Oryctolagus cuniculus: one gene and its partners. The protein of the gene in region 1 interacts with the protein of each later gene in a pairwise test. Links are inferred from orthologs where the notes say so. Each region holds a gene or a part of one and is shown in the gene's direction. Other genes may lie near its edges.

Region 1 (4,004 bases):
TTGGCGGTTATGGCCATTTGGGGTGTAAACTAGCAGATGGAAGATCAATCTCTCCTTCTCTAACTGCCTTTCAAATAAATACATGAATCCTAAAAAACAACAGGGGAGACGGAGATGGCATTCCAGATTGCTGGTTTAGGCGTGGTGCAGCCCTAGCCAATGTGGCCATTTGGGCCATTGAACCTGCGGACGAAGATCTGTCTTTGTCTTCCTCTCTCTAACTTTGGCTTTCAAATAAATTTTTAAAAAACTTTTAAAAAGTAAATAAAAACTTCCCCTCTTAAATAATCATTTCCCCCTAAATAAAAGTTACCTGCTTGTGGAGTTAGACTTTGGAAATGATTCTTCGTGGTTTCCTCATTTGCTGCAGGTAAGTTACTTTGTTTTGTTTAAGATTTTATTCATTTATTTGAGAGGTAGAGTTAGAGTAGAGACAGAAAGGTCTTCCATCTGTTGGTTCACCCCCCAAATGGCCGCAGTGGCCGGAGCCGCGCCCATCCGAAGCCAGGAGCCTCTTCCGGGTCTCTCTTGCGGCTGCAGGGACGCACGCACCTGGGCCATCCTCCACTGCCTTCCCAGGCCACAGCAGAGAGCTGGACTGGAAGAGCAGCAGCTGGAACTAGAACCGGCGCCCCTGGCCGCAGGCGGAGGATTAACATATTGAGCCTCGGAGAAGGCCCCCAGATAAGTTGCTTTGTGTGACAGCTCCTCCCGGTGTTTCTTAGAACTCGCCAGAAAGCGGGACCACACTTTGGAGTGACAAAGGCCCTTAACAGAACGGGAAATAGTGCAGACTTGGCCAGGGGCGAAGGAATCCAAATGATAGGGCGAGGAAAGGGGCGGCGGCCTTGGTCTCACCAAGGAGGGGCTGAGGCAGCATGTGACACTCTGGCTTGGCCTCTTGCAGCCACGTGGTGAAGGGAAGGAGCCAGTGGAGGCGCCCCAGTGCCCAGTGGGAAGGTGGCGGGGGTGAGGTGGAATGAAGGTGTGTCTATGGCGCGTCGGACACTGGCGCCCTCAGTCCCCGCCACTCATAGGCCTGCGACTCCAAAGCGAGCATCGCGTTCTGTACGGGTATCGTCATTGGTGGGCGGGCCAGGCGCCACCCTACCCTGGGCTTTTTATTGGTCAGGTCAAAAAAATCGCGCGAGAGTCACCTAGCAGCCTCCTTCTGATTGGCTGATTCCTGCTCAGGTCAATCCTTCCCCTTCTCTTGCTCTGAGGCAGCCATGTTTGGTATTGGGATACAAATCTTGACATTCTTCTGAGGTCACTTCACAATAAGATGCTACTCTCCTCCGCCATCATCCCCTCCCAACCTGGTATTCCAGTTAATAAAAATGCGCTCTTGTCTTCACAAAACGGGTGTGTTATGATAGTGTCAGAAGTCTGCGTTTAGGTGACCGGAGGGGAAGAGGTGCCCTTTTCCGTCCGCAATCTTCTAATCCAGCAAACAGATTTAGTTCTGACTCCCATTCTCCAGTTGAGTGACGGACTCGGGTCCCAGGCAGCCCGAGAAGCTTTTTAGTCTTTTGATCCCTCGCAGCCCCTGTAGCGTCCCTAGTTACCGCGCCCCTAGTAACCGCCGGCTGTAAGCGAGGAGCCGCCGGGTCTCCCGGGCCGCGCCAGCTTACCCGCCCCGGGCCAGCGCTGGCGCTCCGGCCTCGGAGGCGGGTGATGGCCGCCTCACACCGAGAGGCCAGGCTGGCGGCCGCCAGTCTCCAACTCCCGGTAAATCCCAACACCGGAGCGCGGGTCGCCCAGTACGAACGCGAAGACCCCTTCACTTCCCTGACGGCAGCGGCGGCGGCCTCGGAGGATGAAGACGACTACAAAGTTGTGCGGCCTGAGCGAGTGGCGGTACAGCGGGGGCACGACCGGGGATGGGACTGGGCGCGGGCTAAGGGCTGGTCCCGGTCCCCGCCAGGCTGATTTCCGGCTGGGAGACGCGGTGCCGCGTGCAGATCCTCCCGACCCGGTCCCCGGCCCACCTCTTTCTCTGCCCCCACAGAAAATACTCGACACGGAGGCGTGGGAAGGCCTTTTAATTTTCACCGAAGAGATTACTATAAAAATTTCTTGGAGGGCATTCATGTCACTCCATTTTCTAGACAGTTCAAAGTACAGAATTTTATTCCCTACTCTTTAAGTATCTGTTGGGAATGAACAGCCAGTATTCGCGTTTTTTTGTTTACTTAACGAGGAAAATTAATCTATCCCTTGGTGGATAATCCCTGAAGAAACAGGTGCATCAGCTGTGCTATCAATTGTACTTTAGTGTTACCTGACGGGTGTTTAAAACATCAAGATGGTGGGTAAATCGACACACGTACAGATAAATAGCCAGAGAAGCAAATTACTGAGATTCCAGTGCTTCCCAAATGACTCCTCAGGGTGGGAGGAAACAGCCTATTCGTTGATCAGTTTTCAGAGCCACATGTGTCCTGCTCGCAAGTCCACCAGGTTCAGCGTTCTTTAATTTGTCCAAAGCGTCTCATAAGCTAACTGTCATGGCCTGGGTCTAGTAGAAATAAATAACTGCATGTTTTGGAATTGTTATCTGTACTCTAAAGCTATTAATGAAAAATTTTGTAGCAGCATTTTGTATGGCCAATATCTCTCCAACAGGGTAACAACTCATGGTTATCCCTAAGTAAGGCAGCTGGAGACCCTGAACATGAACCAGGGGAAGCATCCGAGGACCAGCTTTGCTGTAATAAAGCTCCCCCCACCCCCACCCCTCACACAATTTTCAGTGGGCAACAAAGGAGGCACAGTGATGGAGGAAAAAAATCTTTGAATGGAGGAAAAGAATTTGGAATCCTGAAGTCGAATCCATTCTCTGCCATGTGCTGGGTGATGTTAGCACATAACTTCCTTAAAATCTCAGTTTCTTTCTCTGAACAAAAAGAATAATTGTCTCTCTTTCCCAGCTGACCTAGCTAATATAAGATCCAAATAAGATAATGTATGTTTTATTGAAAGCACAATTTATATAAATAATAGTTATTTAATTTTTTCAATTTATTTATTTAAAAGGCAGAGAGCTAGAGACAGAGACAAAGAGGGATCCTTCGTATGTTGGTCCCCCAAAAGCCTGCAGTAGATATGGCTGGGCCAGGTTGATACTGGTAATTGGGAACTCCATTTGGATCTCTCACGTGGATAGCAGGTACATAAGTACTATCAGAACCATCACCTGCTGCCTCTCAGGTCATGTATTAGCAGGGAGCTAGAATTGGAAGCGGAGTCAGGACTTGAACCTAGGCACTCTGATACAGGATGCAAGCAGTATCTTAACCACTGTGCCAAGCACCCACCCCAAATTAAAACAACTGCCCATGGGACTGCCATTTGAACAACTTGCCCTAAGATGACAGTGTGATTTGGCTGCTGTGGTAGGGGAGTCAGTCATTTATCTGTAGTGGTAATTACACTTCCAGAGGGCCTGTTAAGCTAAAATGTATACTACAAACTAATATTACCTTAGGAGAGATTAGTTTGTACAATGAGCTAGTTTCAAAAGGATGGGGACCTACCCAAAAAAGAAAACTAAGTCTTATGAGTTTGACACTGTTCTGAGGCCATCGTACCTGACAGATCCCAGAAGTAAACCTTGATAAGCTACCACAGAAAGTCCCACAGGGCAGAAAGTTCTGGGGCTGGAGGAAAAAGTGCTGAAAAGACAGGGAAGAGAGTGTAGGAGTCAGATATTTGCCTTCAGATTGGTTAGAGTCTCTATCTCAAATTTTCAGGGTTAATTTGTTTCAGTTTTGTCAAATATAACATGTAAATGCAGATACCATACCCACCAGAACTATCACAATAAGCTTCTGTTAGTCCTTTTGTTTTGCCAAAGCCAGTCTACCCCATCACTTCCATGCACCATAACCCCCTCCTGTATACATATACCCTTACGTGATTCTTTGACCTTGTTTGGGCACTTAGGTATGGTGCTTGAATCTAGTTTGGAGATATCAGTTTATAGGTCCTGCTATGTGGGT
Region 2 (3,500 bases), on another chromosome or scaffold:
GGCGGGCTGGACACTCGGCCCCACTACGTGAGAAGGGGCAGGGGTAACCAAGGGCTTCCTGAAGACAGGGCTCCCAGCTGCACCGAGGGGCTGGCCAAGGTCACACTTGTGGTTTGGGCCACACTGTGAGAGGCAGTCTAGGTGTATGGTATAACTCACCCTGGGTTGGTCGGAGGGAGTAGAGGCGGGAGTCGCGTGGAGGGTGGTTGGCCAAGGGAGTTGGGAGTTGGCGTTGACTGGACCAGGAGGGTGGTGTGATTTTCTTCCCGCCTCTTGCTCCTAGATCACACGCCGGTATGCCGAGTTCTCCTCTGCTCTTGTCAGCATCAACCAGACAATTCCCAATGAGCGGACCATGCAGCTGCTGGGACAACTACAGGTGAGGGCAGGCCTGCTGCGGGCGGCCGTGAGGAGGGGCGGGGGCCCTTGCTTCCCCTTGTCACCGCCTCCTGTCCGTGCTTGCAGGTGGAGGTGGAGAATTTTGTCCTGCGGGTGGCAGCTGAGTTCTCGTCACGGAAGGAGCAGCTGGTGTTTCTGATCAACAACTACGACATGATGCTGGGCGTGCTGATGGTAACAGACGCGGTTTCCCCACGGCGCTCTGTCAGTCCCGCGAGGGCAGAGAGTTTTGTTCAGTGTCAGCTTTTGAGTCAGGCAGAGCCTGGCCGTGTCCAGTAAGTAGAGGACTGCTGTGCCCTGACGTGGCGTTCCGCGCCTGTGTTCCCTCAGGAGCGGGCTGCAGACGACAGCAAGGAGGTGGAGAGCTTCCAGCAGCTGCTCAATGCGCGGACTCAGGTAGGAGGGGCGGGGCGTGAGGGGCCTCCGGGACACAGCTCTTAGTTCACCACATGCTGTCGTTGGTATATTAATTTTTTAAAAAAATGTTTGTTTTTGTTTGAAAGGCAGAGTTGTAGAGAGAGGTGAGATAGAGGTAGAGAGAGAGAGAGAGATCTTCCGTCTGCTGGCTCACTCCCCAGATGGCTACAGTTCCCAAGGACAGGCAGGCCAAACCTAGGAGCCAGGAGCTTCTTCCAGGTCTCCCACAAGGGTGCCAGAGGCTCAAGGACTTGGCCGTCTTCTGCTGCTTTCCCAGGCCATAGCAGGGAGTTGGATCAGAAGGGAGCAGCCAGGATTTAACTGGAGCCTGTATGGGATGGTGGCTTAACCCACCTGCCACAACACCAGCCCAATTAATTTTTAAGTGATCTGAACACCTGTGGTCCTACTGTACAAGCCAAGAACTCGCATCTTGACAAAAACCAACATCAAACTGTGAAGTCCTGCCCGGCCACTGTGCCTCTCATGCACCAGCACTGATTGACCTAAATGTTATGTTTGTCATGTTCTTGCTTTTCAGAATTTAAGTATGCCAAAACCATGATTGGTTCTGTTTTTCAGTGTTGTGAAAACAGAATCATGGGATTTTTTTCATATAGAATTTGTGTAATATTGTCACAATCCCGCATGTGGACTCTAGCTCACTCTCTGTCATTGCCATGTCACCTTACATGTGTGAACATGAATTTCCCCCGTAAGTGGGTGTTAGGATTGCTTCCAGTTGTTTGTTTCTGGGAACATTGTTTTATGAACAATCTTAGATATTGATAAGCTTTATCAAAAGTTTCTCTTGGAGACAGCGTTTGGCTTAGCAGTTAAGACAGTGGTTAAGAGGCCTCCATCCCACATTGGAGTACTGGGCTGAGTTCTCAGTTCCAGCTCTTGACGCCAGCTTCCTGCTAATGTCGCTCTCAGGAAGCAGCAGTGATGGCACAGGTAATTGGCTTCTTACCATCCACCTGAAAGACCTGAGCCAAGTTCCTGGCTCCCAGTGCTGGCCTAGCACCAGTGTTGCAGGCATTTGGGGCGTGAACCAATGAATGGAAGCTTGCTCTCCGTCTCTCTGTATCTGCCTCTCAAACTAATTACATTTTTTAAAGATTTATTTATTTGAAAGGCAGAGCAACAGAGACAGGAGGGGGGTCTTCCATCTGCTGGCTTACTTTCCAAATGACTGCAACAGCAAGGTGTGGGCCAGGCCAAAGCCAGGAGCCAGGAGCCAGGAACTCAACCCTAGTCTCCCACATAGGTGGCAGGGGTGAGGTCCTTGGGTCATCATCTGCTGCCTTCTCAGGGGTATTAGCAGGGAGCTGAATCAGAAATGGAGCATCAGGGACTGAAATTGGCACGCTGGGATGGGATGTCAGTGTCAGACGCAGCAGCGTAGCCCTCTGTGCCACAATGCTGTTCCCCTTTTTTGGTTTGTTCATTTTTAATTTTCCTCTTCTTTTTTAAAAATTTAATTATTTTTCTTTGAAAATTCTAATTAAAATTTTTTTTTTCAATTTATTTGAAGGGCAAAGAGAGAGAGGCCCAGACAGAGCTCTCCCATCTGTGAGTTCACTCCCCAGATGCCCACAGTAGCCTGGGTTGGGTCAAAGACAGGGGTGTGGAACTCAATCTGGGCTTCCCACCTGGCTGGCAGGGACCCCAGTACTGGAGCCACCACCTGCCGCCCCCCAGTCTGCGTTAGCAGGGAGGTGGAATCGGAAGTGCAGCTGGGCCTTGAACCCCAGGCGCTCCCAGTATGGGATTCGGGTGTCACAGGCCTGTCTGAAATGCTGAGCCAAACATCAACCCCAAATTCAACTTTTTATTGTGGAAAATTTCAAATAGGGTGAGCCCGAGGTACCATCACTGATCTCCCCACCAGTAACAATGTACAATTTTGTTTTGTGTGCAGCGTTACTCATTCTCTTCCCAGAACACCCTCCCCCAGTTATTCTGAATGAAATCTTACGCATCATTATCACTACAGCTGAATCTGTGTTTTATAAAACACAATACATTATCAGACTTTATAATTTTTAATTATCTCATTTTAAATAGCTAGTATGCAAATGTCTTCAGTTACCTCATGTTTTATATGGTTCAAATGAGGATTGATATAGGGTCCATACGTGTCTTTTTACAAAAGATTGGTTTATTTGAAAGGCAGAGTGATAGAGAGAGAGAGAGAGAGAGAGAGAGAGAACTGCCATCCACTGGTTCACTCTTCAAAAGGCCACCAGGGGCTGTGCTGTGGTGCAGTAGATTAATCCTCCTGTGGCGCTGGCATCCCATATGGTCGCGAATTTTAGTCTCGGCTGCTCCTCTTCTGATCCAGCTCTCTGCTGTGGCCTGGAAAGTCCTTGAAGATGGCCCCTGTACCTGCATGGGAGACCCAGAAGAAGCTCCTGGCTCCTGGCTTTGGATTAGTGCAGCTTTGGTCATTGCAGCCCTTTAGAGAGTGAACCAGCAGATGGAAGACCTTTCTCTATCTCTCCCTCTCACTGTATGTAACTCTACCTCTCAAATAAATAAATAAAAATCTTAAAAAAAAAAAAAAAAAGCCGCCAAAAGACAGGCCTGGGCCAGACTGAAGTGAGGAACCCCACCTGGATCTCCCACATGAGTTGCAGGGACTCAAATACTTGGGCCCTCCTCTGCTGCCTTCCCAGGTG
Region 3 (2,781 bases), on another chromosome or scaffold:
GGTCAGGAGCCGGGCCTGGGACCCCACTGCCCGGCCTGGGGTGGGCCTGGGACCCCATTGTCCAGCCTGGGGTGGGCCTGGGACCCCACTGCCCCGCCTGGGGTGGGCCTGGGGGGCAGGGGCCAGGAGCCGGGCCTCGGACCCCACTGCCCCGCCTGGGGTGGGCCTGGAGGCAGGGGCCAGGAGCCGGGCCTGGGACCCCACTTCCCGGCCTGGGGTGGGCCTGGAGGCAGGGGCCAGGAGCCGGGCCTGGGACCCCACTGCCTGGCCTGGGGTGGGCCTGGGGGGCAGGGGCCAGGAGCCGGGCCTGGGACCCCACTGCCCGGCCTGGGGTGGGCCTGGAGGCAGGGGCCAGGAGCCGGGCCTGGGACCCCACTGCCTGGCCTGGGGTGGGCCTGGGACCCCATTGTCCAGCCTGGGGTGGGCCTGGGACCCCACTGCCCGGCCTGGGGTGGGCCTGGGGGGCAGGGGCCAGGAGCCGGGCCTGGGACCCCACTGCCCGGCCTGGGGTGGGCCTGGAGGCAGGGGCCAGGAGCCGGGCCTGGGACCCCACTGCCTGGCCTGGGGTGGGCCTGGGACCCCACTGTCCAGCCTGGGGTGGGCCTGGGACCAAATTGCCCGGCCTGGGGTGGGCCTTGGGGGCAGGGGCCAGGAGCCGGGCCTGGGACCCCACTGCCTGGCCTGGGGGTGGGGGCTGCAGGCCTGGGACCCCACTGCCTGGCGTGGGGGTGGGGGCTGCAGGCCTGGGACCCCACTGCCTGGCCTGGGGTGGGCCTGGGGGGCAGGGGTCAGGAGCCGGGCCTGGAACCCCACTGCCTGGCCTGGGGGTGGGGGCTGCAGGCCTGGGACCCCACTGCCTGGCGTGGGGGTGGGGGCTGCAGGCCTAGGACCCCGCTGCCCGGCCTGGGGTGGGCCTGGTGGGCAGGGGTCGAGGGCCACAGGCTGGGTGCCCCACTGCCCGGCTTGGGGTGGGCCTTGGGGGCAGGGGCCAGGAGCCGGGCCTGGGACCCCACTGCCTGGCCTGGGGGGTGGGGGCTGCAGGCCTGGGACCCCACTGCCTGGCCTGGGTGGACTTGGGGGGACAGGGGCTATGAACCAGGCATGGGACCCCGTTGCCCAGTCTGGGGGGTGGGGAATGCAGGCCTAGGACCCCGCTGCCCGGCCTGGGGTGGGCCTGGTGGGCAGGGGTCGAGGGCCACAGGCTGGTTGCCCCACTGCCTGGCTTGGGGGACGGCGGGGGCCGCAAGCCATGCTGGGGACCCTTCTGCCCGGCCCGGGGGTGGGGAACGCAGGCCTGGGGCCCGGCTGCTGGCCCGGGGGCGGGCTGACCGGCAGCCGCGTGCAGGTGGACGGGCTCCGGCACAGCCTCCTGCGGGCGGAGGAGGACTGCACGGTGGAGCGCAAGCACACGCTGCGGCTGCGGCGCGCCATGGAGCAGCGGCCGAGCCAGGAGCTGCTGTGGGAGCTGCAGCAGCAGAAGGCCCAGCTGGAGGCGCGCGTGCAGGACCTGGAGGCCGCGGCGCAGGTGGGGGCGCCGGGCGCCGGGCGGGCGGGGGCGGGTGGGCGCCGGGCGCCGGGCGGGCGGGGGCGGGCGGGGGCGGAGCCGCGCGGGACGGCCGCTCTGTGTCCAGCAGGGGACGCGGGAGCGGAGCAGCCCCTACGTCCAGGTGCTGGAGGAGGAGTGGCGGCAGGTGCTGCGTGACCACCAGGAGCAGGCCGGCACCGTCTTCTCCCTGCGCAAGGAGCTGCGCCAGGCCGAGGCCCTCCGCGCCCGGGTAGGAGGCGGGGCCCTGGGGGCCGGGCGCCCTCCCCGCGGGGCGCTGAGCGGCCGTCCCCACAGTGCGCGGAGGAGAAGGAGGTGTTGGACCTGCAGTGCCAGGCCCTGCGCAAGGACGCCCGGCTCTACAAGGAGCGCATGGAGGCCGTGCTGCAGCAGATGGAGGAGGTGGCCCTGGAGCGGGACCAGGTGTGTGGGGGCCCAGTGCCCTCCCCGCTCTCGGGGTCTCCCTCGGTGCGCCCCTCGGCCACGATGCACCCTCAGGGAGCTGCTCTAACACAGAAACCAGCACCTGGGGGGGGGGCCCTGGGGGCGGAGGAGGACTTGCACACACACACACACACACACAAAGAAGAAGAGCGGCCGGGACTCGGAGGCAGGCAGCGGCAGGGCTGGTAGGCGGGACCTCTGGCTGCCTCTGGGTGGCCCAATAGGGACAAAAATGGATCAAGTCCCGGCCGCGGGGGCGCTGATGGGCCCAGACTCTGCCCTGCCCCTGCCCGTGGCCCTGTTCCCTCTGTGTGTCGGTGTCCCACGGCTGGCCGGCCCCCAGTGGGGACAGGCGGGCGTCTCACACAGCACAGACCATCATGCTCCTTGTTTTTGAGATTTTATCTCTTTGAGAGGTAGAGAGAGAGAGAGAGGTAGAGAGGTCTTCCATCTGCTGGTTCACTGCCCAGATGGCCGCAATGGCCAGAGCTGCATTGATCCGAAGCCAGGAGCCTCCTCCAGGTCTCCCACGCGGGTGCAGGGCCCAAGGCCTTGGTCCATCCTCCACTGCTTTCCCAGGCCACATCACAGAGCTGGATCGCAAGTGGAGCAGCCGGGACAAGAACCGGCGCCCATGTGGGATGCCGCCCTGCAGGCTTTAACCGCTGCGCCACAGTGCCAGTTCTTAAGCTTTGCTTATTTGCGGGCAGTGGCAGCTCTTCCATCTGGTTCGCCCCCACTGCCTGCAACACCCGGGGCTGGGCCAGGCTGAGGCCAGCCCCAGGGGCTCCGTC
Region 4 (4,184 bases), on another chromosome or scaffold:
GCCGTTGGTTCACCCCCAAATGGCCGCTACGGCCGGCGCTTCGCTGATCCAAAGCCAGGAGCCAGGTGCTTCTCCTGGTCTCCCATGGGGTGCAGGGCCCAAGCACTTGGGCCATCCTCCACTGCACTCCTGGGCCACAGCAGAGAGCTGGACTGTAAGAGAAGCAACCGGGACAGAACTGGCGCCCCAACGGGGACTAGAACCCGGTGTGCCGGCGCCGCAGGTGGAGGACTAGCCAAGTGATCCACGGCGCCGGCCGCATGTTAGGTCTTAAAGCAAAGCTTTCTTGTAAATTTGGGTGTGGGGGACTCAAAAAGGTGGTTCTGGCTGGTGTCTCAGGATCTGCTGCCTCTGGTCCGTCATTCCCTTCTTACTGCACGTAGGGTTGGGGTGTGCCACTGGCTTACGGTACAAGAAAAGGCTCCCATGAACAGCCTCTAGTGGTGAATGATTTGCCCGAAGTGAGGCCAGGGCATGGGGCATTGTGGTCTTGATGCTGTTACCTCCGTGGTATAATAAGAAAATAAACTCTGCTTTTGTCCTTGATTCCTGGCACAGAGCTCCTAAAATCCTTGGCATTTCCTCTGTGTCTTTTGTTATTCATAATGAGCCCCTTTGGAACACACCTGAGTTTCAGCTAATGAGGCAACCCTTGAAGGCTGGGGGCTGCCGCCAGAAAAACTGACCATGTGATTAAAAAGAGGAAACTCTCATCACCACCCCCCAACCCCTACCTCTAGGAAGGGGGGAGGGGCTGGAGATTTAAACAACCACGCCTGTGTAATGAAACCTCAACAGTGGGGTTCAGAGAGTTTCCTGGTGGGAGGACACGTGGACGTGCTGGGAGAGTGGCTGCCCAGGGCTGGCACGGCCACTCCACACCACCCTCAATGCCCAATACCTTCCCTGTGCATCCCGTCTATTTGGTGTTCCTGAGTTGTGCCCCTTATAAGAAAATGGTCATCATAAGTAAAGTGTTTTCTTGAGTTCTGTGAGCCATTCTTGCAAATTATTGAAGCCAAAGAAGGGGTCATGGAACTCCTGGTTTATAGCTGATCAGTCAATGGTACAAGTGGCATCTGAGGTGAAGGCAGCTTGGTGGGACTGAGCACCTAACCTCTGGGATCTGGCACTCGCTCCAGGTCGATGGTTTCAGGGCGTCCACTGGTGACAGCCCTGGGGAATCAAGTGGTGCCACAAAGCTCCTGAGTCCCTCTTTCCTCCTTTGGTCTGGGAATTCAGTTGGTATTTCTTCTTGAGCAATACAACTACAAGTAGATAATGCCCCTTCTGGAGAGAGGACGGCCTGGCAGTGGGGATGACCAATCAGGGCCTGGTGTTTGGGGTATTGTGTGTCACACTGACCCTACTTAGCCACGTGGTCACAGATGCTGCAAAACTCTTCCTACCTGCCAGATGCTTCGTTCCCACCTGTGACGCTCAGAGAGAAACCATGAGCCCTGCAGAACACCATATTGTTTTGTGATGTCACCTCTGGAATGTTCTGAGTGTTTTGGTGACCAACTTCTGCACAGGACCTATACCTGGCACCTCACATTGGTATGGCTTTTTGCTTGGGAGGGAAACAGTAGTCTTACACAAGGATGTAGATATTAGCAATCAGTGCTTCAAAGACATCAGCTATAGTATCTGTATGAATTTGTTTAATAAAATATCAGAGATTGTCCACACACATTTGCAGATGCAGATTTTCATAATGTACCTAATTGACAAGAAGCAAATAAATGAGTAGAAAGTCCTATAATTGTCAGATGAGCAATGGAGGCCCAGAGGGTGGGTTGGGCAACAGAAATTTTCCTCTTTTCTCTTTTCTACAGCACTCGAGGCCAAATTTTACAAGAAAACGAGATACCAGATCTGAAAGCCTAGAAATCCCAATCAATGTGGTTCTGCCTCAGGTAGGATTAATCACAGAAGGATGAAATCTGCCCGTTTAAGGCAGAATAACACTCCTCTTCCAAAACTCCAGCCTGATGTGGAGTAAGCTGAAGAGTCAAGGCCTCCGATTCTAGTTGTGCATTTGACCACCCACCCATTCTGTGCCTGGGGGAGGAAACATGGCCTCTGTGGGCCTTGGGTTCCTCTTCTCTCATACGAGGAGTGTGAATTAGATGACCTGGCCACCCTAACATTTCAAGTTTCTATGCTAGACTGAAAACAAAAAAAAACAAAAAACAATCAAATATTCATCCTCAAAGGGAGATCTTTGGTGCTTGGTGATGTATTAGCACTCTGGATTTCTAGGGGGACAAGTAGACCTGGGGCTTGGGGTCAAATGCTTACGAATGAGTCCATGAGGAGAAAACCTAGCACATTGACTGGATGCTAAGGTATCATTTGGAGATGTCAATAGAATTAAGCCCTGCTGTGTACCAAAGAGAGAGCATAAAGGATACGTGCATGGTTTTGTTTGTTTTGCTTGTTTGTTTTTTTAGGACAATGTGTAGGTGCAGTTCTGACAGGCTGGATTTTTTTTTTTTTTTTTTTTTTTTTTTTTTTTTTTTTTTTTTTACAGGCAGAGTGGACAGTGAGAGAGACAGAGAGAAAGGTCTTCCTTTGCCGTTGGTTCACTCTCCAATGGCCGCCGTGGCTGGCGCGCTGTGGCCAGCGCACCGCGCTGATCCGATGGCAGGAGCCAGGTGCTTCTCCTGGTCTCCTGTGGGGTGCAGGGAGCCAAGCACTTGGGCCATCCTCCACTGCACTCCCGGGCCACAGCAGAGAGCTGGCCTGGAAGAGGGGCAACCGGGACAGAATCCAGCACCCCTACCAGGACTAGAACTTGGTGTGCCGGCGCCGCGAGGCGGAGGATTAGCCTAGTGAGCTGCGGCACCAGCCAACAGGCTGGAGATTCTAAGGTCTTCTCCTGCAAGTGGCTGTTTCCTTGGTGGGGTTCTCTTGATTGGATTGTTTCTACTGCTGTTATGTCACAAAGGGCATGGCCTTGCTTCTCCCAGAGTCACTCAAGGCCCCTTTGGAAGACCATGGGCATGCAGTCAGAGGGGTTGAAATGTAGAATGGAGAGATCCAATGCAGAGGTAACTATCTGACAGCTCTGTCCAGAGTCATGTAGGAGGGTGGGTCACCAGTGGGCATTCTATGTATGTGACTGAACAATCTAGGCATGTATGTTCAGCAGGAGGCACAAATAGAGGACAAGAAAATATTCTGGATGTTTGTTTTCACATTATCCTTAAAACTCTGCAAGTAACAGACACTTTCTATCTGTTTCAGCTCATGAGACTTAGCCAGAATATAGCATTGCTGATCATTTGACAGGATGATGATAAGCTACAGGAACCTTTCTAGGTCCAATTCTTTCTGTTGTATACAGGGAATTCCATTGGACACTATTCCTTTTGATGGTCGGTGTTGCTCCTTTGATTCTTCATAGCCTGTGTAATTCAATCTTTCCATTGTTAAAGGATGGGTAGAAGATGCCAATCCAGGGTGGGGTGGAGGTGACAGTGAGGGTGGGAATAGGATTTAAATAAGTGATGGTCACATGATAGAAAGATTGGAGAGATTCTTCTATCTATATCCAGCACAACTTCCCCTATCCACTCCCAGAAACATCCTAGCAATCAAGGAGGAGAAAAGGAGGCTTGAGACTATGTCCCTGGCTTGTCCTGGGGCCACCCACTTTCTGTGCTATAGGACCTGGTACAGCTGTTGGGCAGTTGGAAGACAGGGTGGGTGTACAGTGAGGAAAATGTTCAGCAATTATCTGGGCACATGTACCCCATGTGGACAGATGTGGCCTCAGGGGTACACATGACAAAGAAGCACAACCAGGAAGCAGGTTGAAGGCACCTTCCAGGATACTGTAGACTAGTCATCTGCAGGAAGGAAGTGGGCAAACCACCACTAGTGCTGTGAGAAAGATGATGTGTTTGCTAACTCTCCCAACATGAGATGGTGCACACAATTGGAGGTAAGCATTGGCAGAGGAGAAAAGAGGGGGAGAAGTGTTGACTGAATATTGATCTATTGATCATATCATGTTTTGAGCACAAAGACACGCAAATGTAAGATTTTCTAGGTATGGGAACCAGGAATTCCTAGAGCCCTTCAGGTAATAGTAGGGTTGGAGTCAGGATCTTGAACCAGGTCAATATCCATACTCACTTGGCTGCACCAGGTCACCTCTTAGCTCTATAAGTCTT
Region 5 (3,500 bases), on another chromosome or scaffold:
AGTCGATTGTCGTCCCCTCTTCCTGCACGACTCGGAATCCTCAGGCAAGCCCTGAGAGGAGTCCTGGAGTGATTAAGGAGACAGAAGATGTGAAGAGAGAGAGGTGGTCAGTGTAGCTGCTGACACCCAAGGAAGGGGAGAGTGGCAGGATCAGAACAGGAAACTCCGGGAGTCGGGAACGCTGGCCGAGGACGCAGACGCCCGCTTCTACCCCCTCCCCCGGGAGGAGCGCTGGTCCTTCAAGGCAGAGTGAACAGAAACTGCGAAGTGGATTTTGGGAAATAAACCTCCTAACAGAATCGAGGAGGCGGGCCTGTGGTGGCCGAGTGCTGTAAGTTTAGTGTGACCACAGTGAACGGCACAGAGACTTCGGAACCTGAGACTTGAGGAATGCACTTCTGTGGGGCTGAGAACACCTGTGAGCTCTGCCAGGTGCAGCTGCCGCGGAGGGCGTGCGCGGAGGGCGTGCGCGTGCTCGTGAGGCTAAACAGCAGCCGGGACCAGGAGTGGCAGCCCACGCGCTTTCCTTTTCCTTCTCATTTCTAAGCTTCGGTCATATAGTAGCGATGCAAAGTGAAGTGACCGGCCTGTAAAAATGCAGGCAGAGTGGCAAGTCTGCGTCCGTTATGAGCAGCAGCCGTGCTCCTGGCCTGTGAAGCACTGTGCATGTGCGCCACGCAAACCCGCGACTCGCAGCCAGGGACGTGAGAGTGGGGGAAGGCCTGCGTGACTGCTGACGGGGAGCCTGGCGCCGCGGCCGCTGCCCGCCCCCTGAGGTCCCAGAGAACAGCTCGCCCCACCTCCGGAACCTGAGGGGGCCTGCGCGTTCCCAGGCCGTGGTGCACAGGAGGGGAGGTGGAGACGGGAATTCAGTTCCACGTCTGAAGTGGGGCGAGCGCTGGGCGCAGCGGGTGAGCGCCCCACTGCGGAGCCCTGGGTTCGATGCCCACCCTCGGCCCCTGGCCCCGCCTCTTGCTGATGTAGGCTCTGGAAGGCAGTGCTGATGGCTCAGCGGTTGCGAGACCTGGACTGAGCAGTCATTTGGGGGAATAAACAGTGAATGGGAACTCTGTCAAGTTAAAAAAAAACCCACAGCTGTAACAGTCGTGGGAGGCCATCTTTTTACTCAGATTCTTAATGACCTCTAATGACTGTATGAATGAGGCTACCATAGGAGTCTGTTAGCCCCTAGTAAGGTATATATTTGGGAAATTTTAAAGGGAGTAAGAATTACATTAGGTCCCTTCTATTTTATGTAAGATTAAAAAAAAAAAAACCTATGATTTGAAAGATAGTAAAATACTGTCTAGAATATTGTCTAAAATGTCTCACCCTTGTCCCTATTACTTGTACGTAGTGTTGTGGCAAATCGTAGTTTCTCTCTAACCTACTTGGCAGGGAAACTTTTTTTTAAAGATTTATTTATTTATTTGAAAGTCAGTGTTACACAGAGAGGAGAGGCAGAGAGAGAGGTCTTCCATTGGCTGGTTCACTCCCTAGTTGGCTGCAACAGCTGGAGCTGCGCTGATCTGAAGCCAGGAGCCAGGAGCTTCCTCCGGGTCTCCCACGCAGGGCCCAAGTCCTCGAGCCGTCACTGCTGCCTCCCAGGGCGTGCATTCTCAGGAAGCCGGAGCCAGCAGGTAACGCTGTCACCCACAGATGGAGCTCCTTGCTCCTGGCTTCGGCCTCCCCAGCAGGCAACTGGAGTGAACCAGTGGGTGGGAGATCTCTCCTTACTTCTCTCTGTCGCTCTGCCTTCCAAGTAAATGAAACTTCAAAAAAGTGATGTATCATCGACGTGAGAAGATTTTTGTTTACCTGCCACTGGCAGTGGGTACGTGAAGTTGCATCACGCTGGAAGCAGAGCAGGGCAGACACACAGAGGCAAAGCAGCACATCTCACAAGAGGCAGACGGCTTTGGTAAAGGCAGTGAAGTTGCTAATAAATTGTGTTTGACTTCTCCAAGGAAATTTTCTCTTCCAGTTATGTCTCCTTTCCTTATTTAAAGATGTGCGCTCTCTCTCTTGCTCTGTGTGGGTGTCCATCACTCTGCCTTTCAAATAAATAAACCTTAAAAAAAAAAAAAGGAAACAGATGTATATATGTTGGCAACAGCATTTCTTTCCCCTATCTACATTATACAGTGTTGCCTACACTTGTAGTTAATTCAGACTTTTTTTTTTAAGGAGGGGAGTTGTATTATACTTATTTCTCATGGATGATGCTGTTTATTTATTTATTTATTTGTTGCCATAGGACATTGAAAAAGCCTATGAAATTGTGTGTCAGGAAGGCTCTCACTTGACCCCAGATCTTGGAGAACTGGTGGTGGTTCCTCTGTACCCGAAAGAGAAGTGTACGCTGTTCAAGCCAGCCGACGAGGCGGAGAGAAGCTGCCAGGCCACTCAGAGGAGAGTGGTGCTGACCACCAGCTCTGGCGAATCTTTGATCTGGAGCAACACCGTCAGATTCGTTATTGATGTGGGTGTGGAAAGAAGGAAGGTAATTATGACCGCGTCAGCTATTAATCACGGATGGTTCCTAAGCACCAGTTCCTCGGGTCCCAGCCTTTCGTTGACTGGAAGGTGAAGGTGCAATGTGTGACCCAGAGGTGCTCGGAACGTGGGGCCACGCCTGCGGGGAAGGATTCCTGCAGCTTTCGTGAGCAGGGGGTGGTCGGAAAGAAACTAACCCAGCTGAGATGCCAGAGGGGAGAGTTGCGGGCACAGACACAGCCGCAGACGCGCAGAGGCGACGCCTCCTCGTCGCTGCCTGCCCAGGCCAGGGCCCAGCAGAGCGAATGACCTGCCTCCTGGCTGAGTGCCGTGTGCCTCTGTGTGTATCTGCTGGATGACTCTGGTGGCCCTGGAGCAAAGTGAGTAAAATCCTGCCCGAGGGAATTTACCAGAACAAGTTTCAAGTGCGCTGACTTTAATGTTAGCAAATTTTAGCTTTTAATTGACATGAGAATATTTTCATCCTAAATCTTTTTAATTTTTTTTACTACTTTTAAATAAACTACCCAAAAAAAATGAAAATAAGATATCCCAAATTCTAAAGACACTGGGACCTCGTGAGCCATGGCGTTTGAGCATTTGAGCCTCCTGAATATTGGTCTGGTTACTGCGTTCGACGTCGAGTGGATTTCCCCTCCCAGGGACCATGGGCCTCCTCAGTGTCCCCGTCGTGCTGGGACGTAGCGGTCCCAGCGACTGTGAAGGTTGCCTTGGCGACAGTGAGGGTTGGTCCTGTTGCTTCTGTCCACGGTCAGGGCGCCCAGAGCCTCACTGCCCCTCAGTCACCCTGAGTTCCCGGTGCAGTCTCTGTGTGGCTGCAATGCCCGGAGAAGCACTGGGCTTGTGAGGGGGGCGAGACCGCTGAGGTCACAGTGCATGTCAGCGAGACTTGGGAGGGACCACACCACACTGATGGTCACGCAAGCGTGCGTGGGGGGGCCCAGTGCAAGCCCAGGGCCTGTGTGAGCGTGTCGCCTGGCGGG
Region 6 (3,500 bases), on another chromosome or scaffold:
AAACTATAGATATCCAGAAATAGGGTGTCTTTCTGTTTCCATAACTAAAACACAACTGACTGCAGTTTGCTAAAAAGAAAAACAGTTTGAACTGAAATCAAATTTGCAAAATATCGCCCCATTTTTCTTTCCACAAATCAAATTTGCTGGAGAAAACTGGAAAAATTCTAGAACTGTAATGAAAACCTTTGATTCTTACTCTTTGTTTAGGAATGTGTGTGTGTGTATGTGTGTGTGTGTGTGTGTATATGCACATGTTGGAAATTCTAATTAACAAGAAGGCAGGCAGGTGCCTCCACAAGACAGCATTTTTCTGACACAGTGCCACAGTGTCTGGTGGTAGATGTGATTCTGACTCTGGGCTGTGTATGAAAATCTTCTGTGTAGGTCTCTGGTTACTCTTCCGCTCATGCTTTTCTGTTCTCTTCTTAAGGAACGCAAATTTCCCAAGTTTGTATCCAAAGAAATGGAAAACATGTACATCGAAGAGCTAAAGTCGTCCGTCAACCTGCTCATGGCCAACCTGGAGAGCATGCCTGTGTCCAAAGGCGGGGAGTTCAAACTGCAGAAGCTCAAGCGCAGCCACAACGCCTCCCTCATTGACATGGGCGAGGAGAGCGAGAACCAGCTCTCCAAGTCAGACGTCGTGCTGTCTTTCTCCTTGGAGGTAAAAAGCCCTCAACTCTTGGATGTTGCCTGGCCCAGCAAGCAGGACATGAGTGATACGGTGGTTAGCCTCTCTTCCACCTTCCACCCCAGGGGGAGTTATTAAAATAGCAGCTTGGGAAGCATAGCTCAGCTAATCAGCAAGTGAGGCCCCATCTCCAGGAGCCCACATTTTTCTAGGAAAATATACTCTTCAAAAAAATCATCTGCTAAATTTAATCTTTCATTCCTTTCTGTGGCTTACATAGTATCCAAGGATTTTTGTAAAGTAGTAAGGCAGTTTCGAAAGTTGCAGGTTTTGGCAAACTTTGTTGCAGTTGTAAGAGGGGCAATCAAACATTAACTCAAGTTTAAGTGTAACTTTTCTTTCCATCATCATTCTTGATGGCTGTGCAGTACAGAATCTCTTGTCTGAACATCAAAGCAAGAACCCGCTCTTGGGGCAGTCATTGTGGTGCAGAGTACCCTCTGCTTGGGGCCCATGCATCTCATGTCTAGAGTGCCTGGGTCAAGTCCCACCTCCACTTCCGAACCAGCTTCCTTTGAATGCACTAGGGAGGCAGAAGCTGATGGCCTAAGTACTGGGGATCCTTCCACCCACATGGAAGACCTGGTTGGAGTTCCTGGCCCTTAGCTTTGGCCTGGCCAAGCTTCAGCTATTGTAGGCATTTGGAGAGTGAACCAGTGGATGGAAGATCTCAATCTCTCATTCTGTCTTTCAAATAAAGAAAAATGAATAAATAAAAATTTTTTTCAAAAATAAAGGACACTATCAGGCTACTATTATGGCAGAATGCGCCACATGTTAATAAATTCCTCATAATTTCTCTTCATTCGTTTGTTCTTCATATATACTCTATGGGGTGATTCTGATACCTACATCAGAGTTGCCCAGTAAGTTGGTTCAGTATACAGATGCCTAGACCCTACCCAGAATTGCCCAACCAGAGTCTCTAGGTAGTAGGGATATCTATTGTTAGAACCATTTTGCAAAAATAGGTTAGCATCTTCTCAAAACGTTAAACATCAAACTGTGATATGATCCTGGAACTCTACTGCTAGCTACCTGCAGAGTAGAAATGAAAGCATTGTCCCCTGCAAAGAGTTGATTGCCAATATTTATAGCAGAGTTTGTTCTGATAGCTAAAAATTAGGACAGTCTAAATGTCCATTCACTGGTGAATGGTTAGACAATCTATGATACGTACTTACCACACACTGCAGTTCAGACAAATGGTCCCCTAGTAGACATGGGTAACCCTCAGAAATATATGCTTGTGAAAGGAGGCAGACACAAGAGACTATCTCCTGTATAATTTTGTTGATTAGAAAGGTTGTGAAGGCAAATCCACAGAAATAGGAAGTAGATTAGTGTTGCAGGGCATGAGACAGAAATGGGCATCAGGGGTCTTATTGGCAAAGATAAAAATCGCTCAAGCTGATTGATCATGATGGTCAAACAGCTTGATAAATGTGCTAAACATAGCTGACTTGTGCAACTGAACTGGGCTAGTTATGTGACATGTAAAATACATGTCTGCAAAATTGTCAGAAATATAGCCCTGAATTGTGTGCATAAGTGACCCAGATATTTACTATGTACTCCAGAATTTATGAACCACTCATAAGTTATTAAAGTTCAAAATCCACAAGGCTTTTATGCTGACCCAGGATTAGGGGAGACCAAGAGAATAGGTCACATTTCTGCACATTTAATTAGAATGGGTAAAGACTAAATTAATTTTCTGGAACATCATTAAGGATTGCTATGAATTAAGTCCAGGTAATTTGTTTTTCTGTGCTCAGTTCAGAATTGAGATACTCATGTATTCTGCAGTCAAAAAAAAAAAAAAAGGCAGTGTGCAATTAAATTTAGAGACCTTGGGGTGTGAAAAAAATCACCAGTGTAATTTCACAGAATCCTTCTCTTTTTTTAATGCTGCCAACTAAGGTACTGAGCACTTTTTCTCAGGTGTCTTTGAATTTGATTATTGCTAATTAGAGGTGACAATGTATTCTCAACTGCCTCTTGTCTTTCTGCAGAAAGGAGGGGAAATGGTTTATTGATTTTCATGTAGCTTTTAAATATGTAATGTTCTAATTCTTGATTGCTTGTTAGGTATTATATCACTGATTATCTGAAATATCGGTAGACGAGGCCCCACAATGGTCTTATGTGTGCATGATTCAGAGGACTTTGGCTTGTAAATACAAGTACGGAATGAAATGCCCTAGGGCTCCCAAATCCTGTTTAATTAAAACACTAAATTGCACATCATAGTAAAGCTGGCAGTAACACTATTACACATCTATTTGTGAATGTGTTTGGGCCTTGAGAGGGAGAGGCAAAGAGAGTGGGGAAGGTGGAGAGAGAATTGTCATCATAGCAGACTGAGATTTCAACTTGCAGGTTGGTACAAGCCATGGGAGGGTTTGGTGTGATGACAGTTGCATGGTTGGAAGGGACACCAGAGACTGGTTAACTTTGCAGCAAGGGAACTGGAGTCCAGGATCTGAGTGACAAGGCCTTGAGCAGGCGCAACTGTGATTGACAGCAACAGGATCTGTAGAATGCCTCTGTGGGCCAGGTGTTTTACTATCATTAACTCAGTGAGTCCTCACAACAGTCTTTTGAGATAACTGCAGATGTGAAAACGGTTTCAGGGGGGTTAAGAAACCTGCAGACCATTCCACAGCTATGAAGATGTACAATCAGGACTGGTGGTCAGATCTTTTACATTCCAAAAATTGTGCTATGTCCATGGCTCCTTCCATTTCTTTCCACTTCCATGGCTTTTCCTAGTGTAAAAGCTGTCAGTGAAAGGACAACCCCT
Region 7 (3,500 bases), on another chromosome or scaffold:
GCCAGCGGACGATGACAAAACCTCAGCTGGCCTCCTGGATCTTCTGCCGCCAGCTCCACCCTTCCCCCAGCCCGTGCTTTCTAGAACAAACATCTGAGCAGGGTGCTGCCCAGTATGAGCTTCTCAGAGGTTCTTTCCGTGGCAGATAAAGACAGCTCTGCAGAAGGCACGGGTGTGGCTGAGCAGGTTCGAGTCCCGGCTCTGCTCCCTATTCCAGCTTCCTGCTAATGCGAACAGGAGGCAGCAGGGATGGCTCCCACATGGGAGACCCAGATGCAGTTCTCCGCCCCTGGCTTCAGCCTCCCCCAGGCTTGGCTGTTGTGGGCATTTGGGGAGTGAAACAGCAGATGGCTGATCTCTCTTCCCGCAAATAAATAAAAAATCTAATTAATTTTGAAAAAGGGATCTCTGTATGACCCATCACTTCACCGCCCCATCCATCAGCTGAAGGCCCTAGAACACGTGTGTGCCTTCGTAGCCCCGTGCCTTTGCACGTGCTGTCTTGGCCCCTCCCCAGGCTGCCCTATCAAGCCTCCCAGACCCCTTCTTCCACCACTCCAGCCACACTGGTTCCTTCCCCGCTGTGCTCTGTACACACCGCCCTCCTAGCAACTGCTATCTTGTGCCACAGTTTGGAGGTCTTACGAGGGTGGGAGGGCTGTGGCTTTCATTTCTTAGCACAAGAGCTACCCAAGTCATCCCCATCCTAACCTCCCCGGGCACCCCAAGGCCTCGCTTCCCCCTGGACCTGTCCCTATGCATGGAAGGGACCCGCTGGGAACGGCCTGGGGCTCGGCATCGCTGCAGCTGGCACATCCCGTGACCCCTCTGCCCACTTCCTCTTAGCTCGAGGCAGCCCTGGGGGAGGCCAAGAAGCAGCTGCAGGACGAGATGCTGCGGCGAGTGGACGCCGAGAACCGGCTGCAGACCCTGAAGGAGGAGCTGGACTTCCAGAAGAACATCTACAGCGAGGTGGGGCTTGCGCATGGGGGTTGGAGATGCCGGGGCCAGGGGGCCGGGCCAGGCCCGAGCTGTAAGGAACGGGGGCCGATTTATGGGTTCCGTGTCCTTGTTCCCACCCCTTCCAGGAGCTGCGTGAGACCAAGCGGCGCCACGAGACCCGGCTGGTGGAGATCGACAACGGGAAGCAGCGCGAGTTTGAGAGCCGGCTGGCCGACGCGCTGCAGGAACTGCGGGCCCAGCACGAGGACCAGGTGGAGCAATACAAGAAGGAGCTGGAGAAGACCTACTCCGCCAAGGTGCCCCCCCCCACACCCCACCCCGGGATCTGAGGCCGCCCCAGCAATGCCGTCCTCAGGCCCCGCCCTCCTAAACTCCCCCCGCCCCCCCGGCCTTCCCCGCAGCTGGACAACGCCAGGCAGTCTGCTGAGCGGAACAGCAACCTGGTGGGGGCCGCGCACGAGGAGCTGCAGCAGTCCCGCATCCGCATCGACAGCCTCTCGGCCCAGCTCAGCCAGCTGCAGAAGCAGGTGCCTCTGGGGACAGCACGGATGGGGGGGGCACCCAGGGTGAGGTCTGGAGGGCGGAGGGGAGGGGAGAGATGAGCACGCCTCCAGGACTGCAGGCCGAGAGAATGAGCTGGGGCCCAGGATTTGGAAGCAAGTGTCCTGTCCGCTTTGTCTCACTGCACCTGCACGTCTAGGGCGTGTTGATTTTCCCCTCGGGAGCTCACACACCCCCGCCTCTCCCCATCTCAGCTGGCAGCCAAGGAAGCGAAGCTGCGGGACCTGGAGGACTCGCTGGCCCGGGAGCGGGACACCAGCCGGCGGCTGCTGGCGGAGAAAGAGCGGGAGATGGCCGAGATGCGGGCAAGGATGCAGCAGCAGCTGGACGAGTACCAGGAGCTGCTGGACATCAAGCTGGCCCTGGACATGGAGATCCATGCCTACCGCAAGCTCCTGGAGGGCGAGGAGGAGAGGTGGGCTGGGGAGCACCCGGGAGCTCCAGCAATAGGCCCTGGCCTGCGCCGGGCCTGCATGAGACCCCTTCCCCTAACTCTGTCTCCTCCCCTCCCCAGGCTACGCCTGTCCCCCAGTCCCACCTCGCAGCGCAGGGGCCGTGCCTCTTCGCACTCGTCCCAGACGCAGGGCGGGGGCAGCATCACCAAGAAGCGGAAGCTGGAGTCGGCCGAGAGCCGCAGCAGCTTCTCGCAGCACGCGCGCACCAGCGGGCGCGTGGCAGTGGAGGAGGTGGATGAGGAGGGCAAGTTTGTGCGGCTGCGCAACAAGTCCAATGAGGTAGCCCCGCCCCTTCCCCACCACACCCCATCCTGGGCGGGGCCTGAGGGGATACTGCAAGAGGAAGGGCGGAGGGAACCCGGGAGGACCCTTCCTTCATTCCCTCTGCGGGCAGCCAGGGCCAGTGTGTATGTCTCCCGCTCCCTGGTTCCAGTCCTGCCTGGGAAACCTGGGACAAGTTATGTCGCCTCTCGGGGGATCAGTCTGCTCATCTGTAAAATGGACATGAGTGATAGCCCCCAGGTGAAAGATGGCGCACCATGAAGTCCATGGTGGCGGCTGTTTTTTAGTAGGGGGGGGGGGCAAGGCAGTAATGGGGTAGAGGGACCAGGAGCCTCTGAGTGCCGGCAGCGGGTGAGATTAACCCAAAGAACCAGGATACACCTCCCCTTCTCCCCCTTCCCTCCCTGCCTGGCAGGACCAGTCCATGGGCAACTGGCAGATCAAGCGCCAAAACGGAGATGACCCCTTGCTGACTTACCGCTTCCCGCCCAAGTTCACCCTGAAGGCCGGGCAGGTGGTGACGGTGAGTGGCAGGGCGCTTGGCGCCCTGCGGTAGCCTGGGGCGGGGTGTGTGTGTGTGTGTGTGTGTGTGTGGAGGACGGGCCTGAGGACAGTAGCACGGAGTGAGTGCCCTTTCCCGCTTCCTTTTCTCCAGATCTGGGCTGCTGGAGCCGGGGCCACCCACAGCCCCCCTACCGACCTGGTGTGGAAGGCGCAGAACACTTGGGGCTGTGGAAACAGCCTGCGCACGGCTCTCATCAATTCCACTGGGGAAGTGAGTGTGCTGCGGGCTGGGCAGGGCTCCCCCTAGTGGCCACAGTCGGACGGTCACTTTGCCGGTCTCCTACGGGGGGTGGGGGTGGGGGTGGGGGTGGTGGTTGTGCCTCCCTGGGGTGGGAGCAAGTTCCTTAGCGCCGGCCCCACAGAGGGCAGGGTCAGCAGCAGGCCGGCTGCTGGCGGTCCCCGTGGGTAGGTGTGCCGCACGCCGCCCCCACCCCCCCGCCGGCCCCGTGTGGCCCCTCACCCTCAGGTCTGTGTCCCTGGCAGGAGGTGGCCATGCGCAAGCTGGTGCGCTCGGTGACTGTGGTGGAGGACGACGACGACGAGGATGGAGATGACCTGCTCCATCATCACCATGTGAGTGGCAGCCGCCGCTGAGGCCAAGCCTGGCCAGACCTGGGGGCAGCCCCTCACGCCCAAAAATCTTTTCATTAAAGAATGTTTTGGAACTTCACTGGC

Evidence for each region.
Region 2: the proteins of FAM161A (region 1) and VPS52 interact in binary tests that used the Homo sapiens proteins (3 or more experiments, as listed by UniProt). The link is inferred for Oryctolagus cuniculus from reciprocal best matches to the Homo sapiens genes FAM161A and VPS52.
Region 3: the proteins of FAM161A (region 1) and CARD9 interact in binary tests that used the Homo sapiens proteins (3 or more experiments, as listed by UniProt). The two-hybrid records come from large-scale screens. The link is inferred for Oryctolagus cuniculus from reciprocal best matches to the Homo sapiens genes FAM161A and CARD9.
Region 4: the proteins of FAM161A (region 1) and CBY2 interact in binary tests that used the Homo sapiens proteins (3 or more experiments, as listed by UniProt). The two-hybrid records come from large-scale screens. The link is inferred for Oryctolagus cuniculus from reciprocal best matches to the Homo sapiens genes FAM161A and CBY2.
Region 5: the proteins of FAM161A (region 1) and DHX32 interact in binary tests that used the Homo sapiens proteins (3 or more experiments, as listed by UniProt). The two-hybrid records come from large-scale screens. The link is inferred for Oryctolagus cuniculus from reciprocal best matches to the Homo sapiens genes FAM161A and DHX32.
Region 6: the proteins of FAM161A (region 1) and CADPS interact in a two-hybrid assay, tested with the Homo sapiens proteins (2 studies listed by BioGRID). The two-hybrid records come from large-scale screens. The link is inferred for Oryctolagus cuniculus from reciprocal best matches to the Homo sapiens genes FAM161A and CADPS.
Region 7: the proteins of FAM161A (region 1) and LMNA interact in binary tests that used the Homo sapiens proteins (3 or more experiments, as listed by UniProt). The link is inferred for Oryctolagus cuniculus from reciprocal best matches to the Homo sapiens genes FAM161A and LMNA.

Annotation. Positions count from the first base shown.
Region 1 is NC_091433.1:140,941,939-140,945,942, forward strand, and holds the start of FAM161A (protein FAM161A), read left to right. Parts: upstream 1-1,204; 5' UTR 1,205-1,677; coding exon 1,678-1,860; intron 1,861-4,004. UniProt on the Homo sapiens protein: Involved in ciliogenesis.
Region 2 is NC_091436.1:135,860,366-135,863,865, forward strand, and holds part of VPS52 (vacuolar protein sorting-associated protein 52 homolog), read left to right. Parts: coding exon 1-27; intron 28-283; coding exon 284-379; intron 380-465; coding exon 466-573; intron 574-729; coding exon 730-795; intron 796-3,500. UniProt on the Homo sapiens protein: Acts as a component of the GARP complex that is involved in retrograde transport from early and late endosomes to the trans-Golgi network (TGN).
Region 3 is NC_091432.1:236,667,521-236,670,301, forward strand, and holds part of CARD9 (caspase recruitment domain-containing protein 9), read left to right. Parts: intron 1-1,345; coding exon 1,346-1,525; intron 1,526-1,631; coding exon 1,632-1,775; coding exon of another isoform or gene 1,776-1,840; coding exon 1,841-1,966; intron 1,967-2,781. UniProt on the Homo sapiens protein: Adapter protein that plays a key role in innate immune response against fungi by forming signaling complexes downstream of C-type lectin receptors.
Region 4 is NC_091440.1:64,764,219-64,768,402, forward strand, and holds the start of CBY2 (protein chibby homolog 2), read left to right. Parts: upstream 1-1,384; 5' UTR 1,385-1,485; coding exon 1,486-1,560; intron 1,561-1,838; coding exon 1,839-1,919; intron 1,920-2,927; exon of another isoform or gene 2,928-2,942; coding exon of another isoform or gene 2,943-3,056; intron 3,057-4,184.
Region 5 is NC_091446.1:5,808,245-5,811,744, forward strand, and holds part of DHX32 (putative pre-mRNA-splicing factor ATP-dependent RNA helicase DHX32), read left to right. Parts: intron 1-2,257; coding exon 2,258-2,503; intron 2,504-3,500.
Region 6 is NC_091441.1:87,195,785-87,199,284, forward strand, and holds part of CADPS (calcium-dependent secretion activator 1), read left to right. Parts: intron 1-433; coding exon 434-667; intron 668-3,500.
Region 7 is NC_091438.1:42,571,722-42,575,221, reverse strand, and holds part of LMNA (lamin), read left to right. Parts: intron 1-846; coding exon 847-972; intron 973-1,088; coding exon 1,089-1,259; intron 1,260-1,364; coding exon 1,365-1,490; intron 1,491-1,718; coding exon 1,719-1,939; intron 1,940-2,038; coding exon 2,039-2,258; intron 2,259-2,676; coding exon 2,677-2,784; intron 2,785-2,916; coding exon 2,917-3,036; intron 3,037-3,308; coding exon 3,309-3,398; intron 3,399-3,500.